Linked DNA regions of Yarrowia lipolytica. The protein of the gene in region 1 purifies or fractionates together with the protein of each later gene. This does not show direct contact. Links are inferred from orthologs where the notes say so. Each region holds a gene or a part of one and is shown on either strand. Other genes may lie near its edges.

Region 1 (3,762 bases):
GGAGTTTTGGAGCATGGAGGCACCGTCGCCTCGGTGGGCAGCAATGGCAGCCATCTTCTGCAGCTTGGGCGAGTCGCCGGCAAGCACGTAGACAAACGACAGCTTGTCAAACAGCTGCTGCTTCTGGTACACGAGCTCGACGATTCGGAAGTTGCCCTGCGACAGAGCCTCCTTTCCGAGCAGCGTCCAGTACGAGGGCTCGTCCAGAATCTGGGCCTGCTCCAGGGCCTCGGTCAGGTTGCCGCACTCGATGGCGAGATCAAACTTGACCTTAGGGTCCTGCACAAACTGCAGCGCAATCTCTGGGTAGCCCTTCTTCTGCAGGTACGAAATGATGGATTGGCCCACGAGGTTGGACGACTTGATGATTCGCAGCACCTCAGAGAAGTTCTTGTTGACCAGCGCCCGCTTGAACCGGTACTCGGTGGGGTCGATTCGGACCACCTCCACCTCGCCAGCTCGGTTCAGACAGTAGACTCGTCGGTCCTTAACCCGCACAATGTACAGAGTGTTCTCCAGAGTCTTGATGATGCCGGAGTCGCCGTTGAGCAGAGTGTACTTGAGATGGTTGAGAGTGGTGTAAAGCAGCACTCCGTTGTCGTCCCAGCACGCGGACTTGATTCGAATGGTCTCGTGAAGAGACGAAATGAACTTGAGCGTGGTGGCAGAAGCAATGGTCACGGTGTGTTTGGTCAGCAATGCCACGTGCTTGCCGTCCTTGCTCCAGTTGACATACTTGACGCCGGACACAGCAAGTTCGGCCACAATGGTCTTCTGGGCAACGTCCAGCAGGTAGACGTGGGAAGGACCCAGCAGGAGAAGTTGGCCCGACGAGCCGGGGACAACCACAATATCCTTGACCTGTTTGGGCAGCTTGATGGTTCGGGTGGTGGTGTTGCTCAAGTCCCGTATGTCAATGGTCTGGGCATTCTTGTTGAAGACGGCAAATCGGTTTCGGGCCACAAAGACGGCCTGAGCAGCGTTGCCGCCAATTTCCTCGGTGGCCTCAATGCCACCGCTGGCAGCGTCCTTGGGCAGATGGACCAGGTTGTAGTTAAACTGGTCCTTGTCCTTGGTGAGCAGCAGCACAGCCCGGGCAGCAGGGTTGTAGCTGATGGACCGAATGGGTGAATACTGCGAGCCGTACTTCTTGAGAGACACCAGGGGCATACTGTCCTGCTCTGAGTTGAAGTCAAACAGCTTGAGTTGCTTCTCCTTAGACATGTAGAGCAGCGAGTTGCCGTCAATGGTGGAGGCGGGTCGCTCTCGCTCCATCTTGAACACCATGATACCGCTCTCGTGGCCAGCAGCAAACAGGTTGATGTTGGGGTGAGCAGTGAGGGCCCAGAATTTGTCGTTCTCCCGCTTGAACTGCTTGATGAGAGTTCGCTTGTGCAGGTCCCAGGTTCGGATCGTCTTGTCCTCGGACACAGACACAATCACGTCCTGGTAGGGGTGGAAACAACACGACAGAATGTTGTTGGTGTGGCCTCGGCAGGTATCGACCTCCCAGGCCTTGGTGTCGCTCATTCGCCAAATCTTGAGGACCCGGTCGTCACCACCAGACACAATGAGAGGCAGAGTGGGATGGAAAGTCGCCCAGTTGACACCACCATCGTGGCCCTCAAGAACGTACTTGACAATACAGTCCTGGTTGCCAAACATGTCCTGGCCACCCTGCTGGGGATGTCCGCCGGGGCCGCCGGGACCACCGCTGTTTCGAGCAGCCATCATCATCTGCTCTTCGAACGACATGGATGAGCCTGCGCCGCCAGCAGACACGCCGCCGCCGGCAGAGTGCTTCTTTCGCAGGCCGGAAATGTCCCACACTCGCACGGTCTGATCCAGACAGGCAGACACAACCAGGTCCTCGGAGGGGTGGAACTGAGCACTCATAATGTAGTGCGAGTGGCCGGTGAGACAGGCAATCTCCTGTCGGTTTTGCCAGTTCCAGATTCGAATGGTCTGGTCATCGGAACACGAGATGATCCAGGGCAGCTCGTGGTGGAAGAAGACGGTTCGCACGTAGTCGAGGTGGCCGACGAGAGTGAAGAGACACTTTCGGGTCTGTAGCGACCAGACCTTGATCTTGTAGTCGTCGCCACAGGACACAAACAGCGGCTGGGTCTTGTGGAAGTCGACACCTCGAACGGGGCCATCGTGGTCCTCGAACCGGTCCACCAGGGTTCCCATTCGGTAGTCCCAGAGTTGGATGGTGGACGAGTGGAGCGAGACCAGGACCCAGGGGCGGGTCGAGTGAAAGGCTAGGCCTTTGGCTCGGGAAGATTTTGATTCAAACTGGGTTAGTATACGAGTGGAATCAGGATATGGCATGAGCTGACTACCGGGATGACACAACGCGTCACAACGTAAACAGGCCGTGGTCACACACATCTGGACACATCAAATGTGAACAAGACCGAGTAGTTGTCTTAAAGCAACAACCTCTGTTGTGAAGCAGCAGATTGGTGAACGACAAGGAGTAACGTGAACATGGGCAAACCAAGCCAGTGTGCCAACAGGTCATCATATTGTTGTCATTGCTACCATGTCGCTACCATGTCGCTACCACGTTTGTCCCATAATGCGTCTCGTCATGAGCAACGGTTGATCACATTTCACCCCCGCACTTCATTCCACGCTGTCTGTCGCTTCTGCGTCGCTTCTGTGTCGCTTCTGTGTCGCTTCTGTGTCGCTTCTGTCTGTCGCCCTAATAGTGTCATCGCCGGCGGTCTAGATTTCTCGCCCAATGGTCACCTCACCGCTCAAAAACCCGCCTCGATTTCTCGCCCAATGATCACCTGACCGCTCAAAAACCCGCCTCGATTACTCACCTTAGTTAGCATCTCCATCTTGACGGATTGTGAGATGTGTTCTCAGTTGAAGAAAGATCGAGGTAGTGCGTTCTCGAAGTGACGTGTTGGGAGAACGTGGCACAAAGTTTATTTTGACGGAGAATTTGGGGAAGATGGGGAGGACACTAACGGTGTTGTGGATGGGAAGTGGGAGGCATTGGAGCAAATATAACAAGCTGATTCGGACAATTGTAGCCCAAACATGATACGGTCAAATTTTGGTCCGAATATCTCGTGTTTTGGTGGAATTAGAACAGTCTTTTGTTCACATCCCCGTCGTCTACTCCCAAGTAAACTCTCAACTGGAGACAATAAATTATTTAAGTTGTATCACTACAGAAAAACGCATACTGCAGAAAATAATACGAAAAATGTTATGTTATAACATTGTATTCATACATTATGTACTGTAGCCCTGTAGGAATGTATGTTGTAATATGTATGATGTTGTAAAAATGTCTTTAAATAAAATATATCATGTTGTAAAAATGATATTAAAAATATTAGTATGTTATAAAAATGTATTATGTCATTATAAAAATATATATATAAAAAAAAAAACGTGACAATACTCGCATGTCGGGAATTTCGTATGAAACGACCTACATTCTGTACTCGTAGTAAACATGATAACAGTAATTTTTTCAAAGTGGATTTTCAAAGCTTCGATCTAAGCAACACTGAAAAACCCACTTTTTCTCGATATCTCCAGTAGTTACGCCATTCGAATCAGCCCGGCGTGGGGAGTTCAATGATACAATGATGTCCACTAACGGTGTACTCTATAGTGTACTCTTTACTCAATGTGGATGTGTGGACTCTAGCAGATCATACCTAGTCCAACTGCGTATCGTCACTTTGCGACCGTCTCAATGACATGAAAAGTCCTCAATTGGTTTACGTTCTC
Region 2 (2,048 bases), on another chromosome or scaffold:
AAACGCGCTGGACCCACCATCTTGGTCTGTTTGTTGATGAGTCCCTGCAGCCACTCCACCTCTTCCTGGGGGGCGGCGTCCTCTTGTTTTTTCGCCGTGATGCCGTACGTGGACGGCGCCATTGCTGCTGCTGGCTGTGTAGCTTGGCCAGTGTTGTTTGCTACTCTGCTGATTCTCCGGGCCTCTGCTGGTCCAGGTCCCTTGGCCCACTTGACAAAGTCCTGCATGCCCTGGTCGCCCTGAGGATCGGTATCGTAGGGGTCGAGTAGCACCACTGGTTTGATGACATGTGTGTTTGCCATGGCTTGTGCCACGTCTGTGATGATGGCGTCAAATCGGCCTCCGTGATGCGCCAGATTCATCGTCTCCGTCGCCAGCAGATCGAGATGCCGAATGTACAGGTCTGTGATTGTGTCCAGCACCGAAGGCGGGCATCGTTCGATACCGGCCACTCGAAGCAGTTGCGCCACTGATATGCGGGCCAGAGCAAAGTAAAAGTCTGACATGGAGGAAGTGTGGGAGAGAGGAATGGATGTGTGTTGCAATCGTGTGCGTTGCTTTTGTGTGTGTGGTGTAGGATAGCTGCGTTTGTGTCCGCGTATGTGTCTGTGGCTGCGTTTGTGTCTGTATTTATGCGGATTGTGCGTGTGCCGCGTTTGTCGTCACTAGGTTGGTGTGTCTGTCTGTCTCCATCCCTTGTCACTAAGGTTTTAAACTGGAGATGGAGGTTGGGCATTTTAAACTTCGCTACGTGTAACATAACACCTAACTGCTCTCTAGAACGGCAGATCACGACACATTCACACAACCACACAGAATCATGACGTCGGAATACTCGGTAGAGGCAGTGCTGCTGCTGGACAAGGACGGAAAGCGACTCTTCACCAAGTACTACTCGCCCCCACACGGCGACGTGCAATCACACGAGCAGCTTCAGACCCTGACGACACTCAAGGACCAGCAGACGTTCGAAAAGGGCCTGGCGCAGAAAACCCATCGACAGAATGGTGACGTCATCATCTTCGACAACAAGGTGGTCGTGTACAAGACGGTTGTGGACGTGACTCTGTACGTGGTCGGATCGTTTGAGGAGAACGAGGTGATGCTGTACCAGCTGGTTGCCGGCATCAAGGACGCGCTGGAGATTCTGCTCAAGCACTCGTTCGACAAGCGGTCTGTGCTCGAACACTTTGACCTGGTGGCTCTGGCTATCGATGAGGCCGTCGACTCGGGCGTCATTCTCGAGATCGATCCCGTCGTCATCGCAAGTAGAGTCACCCCCGCACCCGCCAAGGAAAGCATTGCGTACGGAGGAGTGGAGATCAACGAACAAACCATCTCGAACGTGTACCAGAAGTGGTCGCAGCGAGCTGGCAAGTTTTTCAGCTAGATGGAGGATGTATATGGAGGTAATAAGATGGATTTTGTGCAACATGTAGCGCGACTGTGACCCAGCTGCTCGGTGAGGGCCATCTGCTTGCGTTGCAAGTACTGTACTATAGATAAATATTGTGTTTTTGTGTGTTTTGCAATCGTAATTGGTTCAATTGAATAGTCGTATTGAAGTGTTAGTCGATCCTCCAAGTGCTGTTACGCTTGATCAAATTGTAACTAAGACAGGCGACAGCTGTGAGCTGCGTACTTGTACTTGGACAATAGACCAAGTTTGCGGGTGTAAACATGATTGTACAGGCTCAATTGAACAGTATCGACCGCTTATTCATCACAATGACATTCAGCGGTGAACGTCTACAAGTACCGGCATATTGTGCTAACTAAATTCTTGAACCAAGAACCATTGAAGTTACAGGCGTTGTACTTGTACTCATACTTGCAAATAATCAATGCGATTTTGTGTCGGCTGTTCGCTGAAGGGTCGTCTCATTGAGTCAATGAGTTGCTGGTCATAATCTGTCGTTGAACAGAAAGTAAGTCCTGTGACAAACTGTCATCTATTGGACTTGTTGTAGCTAGAAATCATCTAAAATCTCGTTGTTTGTACCATTGAGGGCTACAAGTACAGTATCGTACCAAATGTCTTCCATCTA
Region 3 (2,995 bases), about 1.5 Mb from region 1:
GATATTATTGTTCCAGGGTGTATGGCGCAGATGGGATGGTGGTGGGATGGTGGTGGGATGATAAAAAACAACAGGTGAGGTGAAGCGAGTGGGGTTTTATAGAGGGGTTTCAGTCGCTTTTAAGCCCTATAACACTTCTAGTGGTGTGGCGGTTACTGGGCACCGTATTTGGTTGTCCCTACTATACTGAGTATGTATGTAAGTATTTGTTTTACTTGTCGCTAATCTGAAAGAAATTAAGGACTCGCTCCCTTTAATGAAACAAGCCCATGTGATGAGGGTGCCCCTAAATGGAGAGAGCTGATAGCCGACATATGAAAGGAATCACACTATAAGAAAGCGTGACTCCCGCGCCACAGAACAAAGTGCTGTACCAGTAGCTGTGTAACATGGAGAGGACAGTACGTACGGTGTGATTAACTCGTTCCAGACCACTCTCCACGACACTTCAGTGTCTAGAGTTAACGGAGAGTTACGACAATCTCAACTTGACGCGTTTACTGGATGACGACTTGGAAATATGGAGTATCAACACTCCAAGAACGCTCAGAATAGATTGTCAAATCCGTTTGTTCGACAAATACGCGTACTGGTGTCATACCTGTGTCCTTCAAATACACTCCTTCTTGTTACGGCAACATTTGCCTGTCACCCTCCCATACTCCCATCGGTACTCCCAGCCGCACAAGTTGAGCTTAAACACGTGACTCCTAACCTCTGTGGGCGAACCCAGTGTTTCTGTCAATATTCCAACCTCGAACTCTAACAAGGACAACACATCAGCACACCAGCACACATCACGATCAAAGGAGGAAAATGGTAAGCAATTGGACGGATCCGAATCGCTCGCGCATATACTAACACAGGTCGTTTTAGCCGCATCCATATGCTCACGTGGCGGCAAAGCCATCATCTCGCGTCAATTCCGAGATCTGCCCAAAGAGAAGGTCGCCGGACTGCTGGCCATCTTCCCCAAGCTCATCCAGGGCTCCAAACAACACACAACCGTGGAGCACGACAATGTTCGATACGTTTACCAGCCACTGGAGGAGCTGTACGTGGTTTTGATCACCAACCGTCAGTCCAACATTCTGCAGGACATTGAGACTCTGAGACTGCTAGTCCAGGTGGTCACTTCGTTGGTACGTGTCGTGGATGAGCGGGAGATTCTGCTGGCCGCATTCGACCTGCTCGGCGCCTTTGACGAGGTGGTGTCCCAGGGCTACCGGGAAAACCTGTCTCTGCAGCAGATCCAGACGTTTTTGGAAATGGAGTCCCACGAGGAGAAGATTCAGGAAATCATTGAGCGAAACAAGGAGCTGGAGGCCACCGAAGATCGAAAGCGAAAGGCCAAGCAGCTGGAGATGCAGCGAAAGGAGGCTGCCAAGCGAGGTCTGCCCGGAAACGCTGGAGGTCATGGATCTTTCCAGGCCCCCGCCTTCCAGGCCCCCGCTCCTTCGTTTGTGCAACCCGCTGCTGCTCCCGCACCTATCCCCGAGACAACCCACAAGCCCCGTGCTCCTCGAGGAAAGGGCATGCAGCTCGGCAAGAAGAAGGGCGGATTCGATGACAGCCCCTCTGCTTCTCTGCTGGCTAACGCTGACATCGCCGTGCCCACCCCCAAGTCAAAGCCGCAGCAGCAGACTGCCCCCGCAGCAGCAGCTCCCTCTGCCTACAATCCCGAGGTCCAGGGCGTTCATCTCACTGTCGCCGAGGTTGTCACCGCGACTCTCGGTCGAGACGGCTCTGTTAAGAGCGCTGAGGTCAAGGGAGACGTACAGCTGAGAATCGGCAACCCCGACCACACAAAGATCCGAATCGCGCTCGAGGCTAACGCCCCCGGCGTCAAGTACCGAACCCATCCCAACGTGGACAAGGCGCTGTTCTCCTCGCGCCAGATCATCGGTCTCAAGGACCCCTCTCGAGGCTTCCCCTCTAACGGCGCTGCTCTCGGCGTCCTGAGATACTCTGCTAACGCACCGGAAGAGGCTGTTCCTCTGACCTTCAACTGCTGGTTTGCGAAGTCGGACCCCGGCTTCTACGACGTGACCCTGGAGTACGAGGTCTCTGAGGGTTTCACCGGCAAGATGACCAACGTGTCTGTCATTGTGCCTCTGGTCTCCTCCAACGCTCACATCTCCGACTCCTCCATCACCTGGGACCAGTTCGACGACCATCTCGAGTGGATCATTCCTGAGATCACTGCTGATGGTGACACCTCTACCGGTGCCTTTGAGTTCACCGCTGAGGCCGACCAGGAGGACGAGTTCTTCCCCATGGAGGTTTCCTTCACTCTCAACGACCCTGAGACCACAGTGGGCAACGTCAAGATTCTCAACGTCTTCTCTGCCACTGCCGAGGACGAAAACATCCCCTACCAAGAGGTGACCCGAGTGACGTCGGACAACTACCAGATTGTTTAAGGAGGAACAACTACTAGGTAGCATGTATAAGTAGGTTGTATGGAGCTGTTATTGGAACAACGAGTACAAGTAGGTTGAGTGTAAATTGGCCGTATTACTGGAGCAATATGTGACAAAGTAGATTTGGTATCATGTGTTTCCTGTGTCTGTGTCACTGTTGGGTATTGTACTCGTACCTGCTGTAGTATTGTACATACTGTAGGTTGGGCAAGTAGGGAAGAAGCTGTCAGGCTATATTAAGACACACTTGTAGCTAAACTGGTGAAGATGTCTTGCTGTGTTTGTTGGAATAGATTACTTGGTATAACCACTATTAGTAGATATTATGAAGCTGTTTGAAGCGTTGAGAGAGACGAGAGAGAAAAAAGTTCCTTTATGTCAATGGTAATCCTGTTATGTCACTACAACTGCAAACTCAGCCCGGGAGTGGCGATTATGAAGTCGCAGCCAATGCTCTCAATCTTGGCCAGGCCGATTATATCCTCCAAAACCACTTTCCGAGGATCGTTTTCGGGATCCTCATTGTAAATATCCTCCTTTACGTGCGTGATAACAACAGGAAGACCCTTCAA

The links.
Region 2: the proteins of YALI1_E23691g (region 1) and YALI1_F17709g purify together in Saccharomyces cerevisiae (affinity purification with mass spectrometry, with the first as the bait; 5 studies listed by BioGRID). This does not show direct contact. The link is inferred for Yarrowia lipolytica from reciprocal best matches to the Saccharomyces cerevisiae genes COP1 and RET3.
Region 3: the proteins of YALI1_E23691g (region 1) and YALI1_E38593g purify together in Saccharomyces cerevisiae (affinity purification with mass spectrometry; 8 studies listed by BioGRID). This does not show direct contact. The link is inferred for Yarrowia lipolytica from reciprocal best matches to the Saccharomyces cerevisiae genes COP1 and RET2.

Annotation. Positions count from the first base shown.
Region 1 is NC_090774.1:2,367,752-2,371,513, reverse strand, and holds the start of YALI1_E23691g (uncharacterized protein), read right to left. Parts: upstream 2,395-3,762; coding exon 1-2,394. UniProt on the Saccharomyces cerevisiae protein: The coatomer is a cytosolic protein complex that binds to dilysine motifs and reversibly associates with Golgi non-clathrin-coated vesicles, which further mediate biosynthetic protein transport from the ER, via the Golgi up to the trans Golgi network.
Region 2 is NC_090775.1:1,770,145-1,772,192, forward strand, and holds YALI1_F17709g (uncharacterized protein), read left to right. Parts: upstream 1-820; coding exon 821-1,390; downstream 1,391-2,048. Other genes in the region: YALI1_F17706g (uncharacterized protein), read right to left, coding at 1-506. UniProt on the Saccharomyces cerevisiae protein: The coatomer is a cytosolic protein complex that binds to dilysine motifs and reversibly associates with Golgi non-clathrin-coated vesicles, which further mediate biosynthetic protein transport from the ER, via the Golgi up to the trans Golgi network.
Region 3 is NC_090774.1:3,857,618-3,860,612, reverse strand, and holds YALI1_E38593g (uncharacterized protein), read left to right. Parts: upstream 1-1,268; coding exon 1,269-2,423; downstream 2,424-2,995. Other genes in the region: YALI1_E38561g (uncharacterized protein), read right to left, coding at 2,825-2,995. UniProt on the Saccharomyces cerevisiae protein: The coatomer is a cytosolic protein complex that binds to dilysine motifs and reversibly associates with Golgi non-clathrin-coated vesicles, which further mediate biosynthetic protein transport from the ER, via the Golgi up to the trans Golgi network.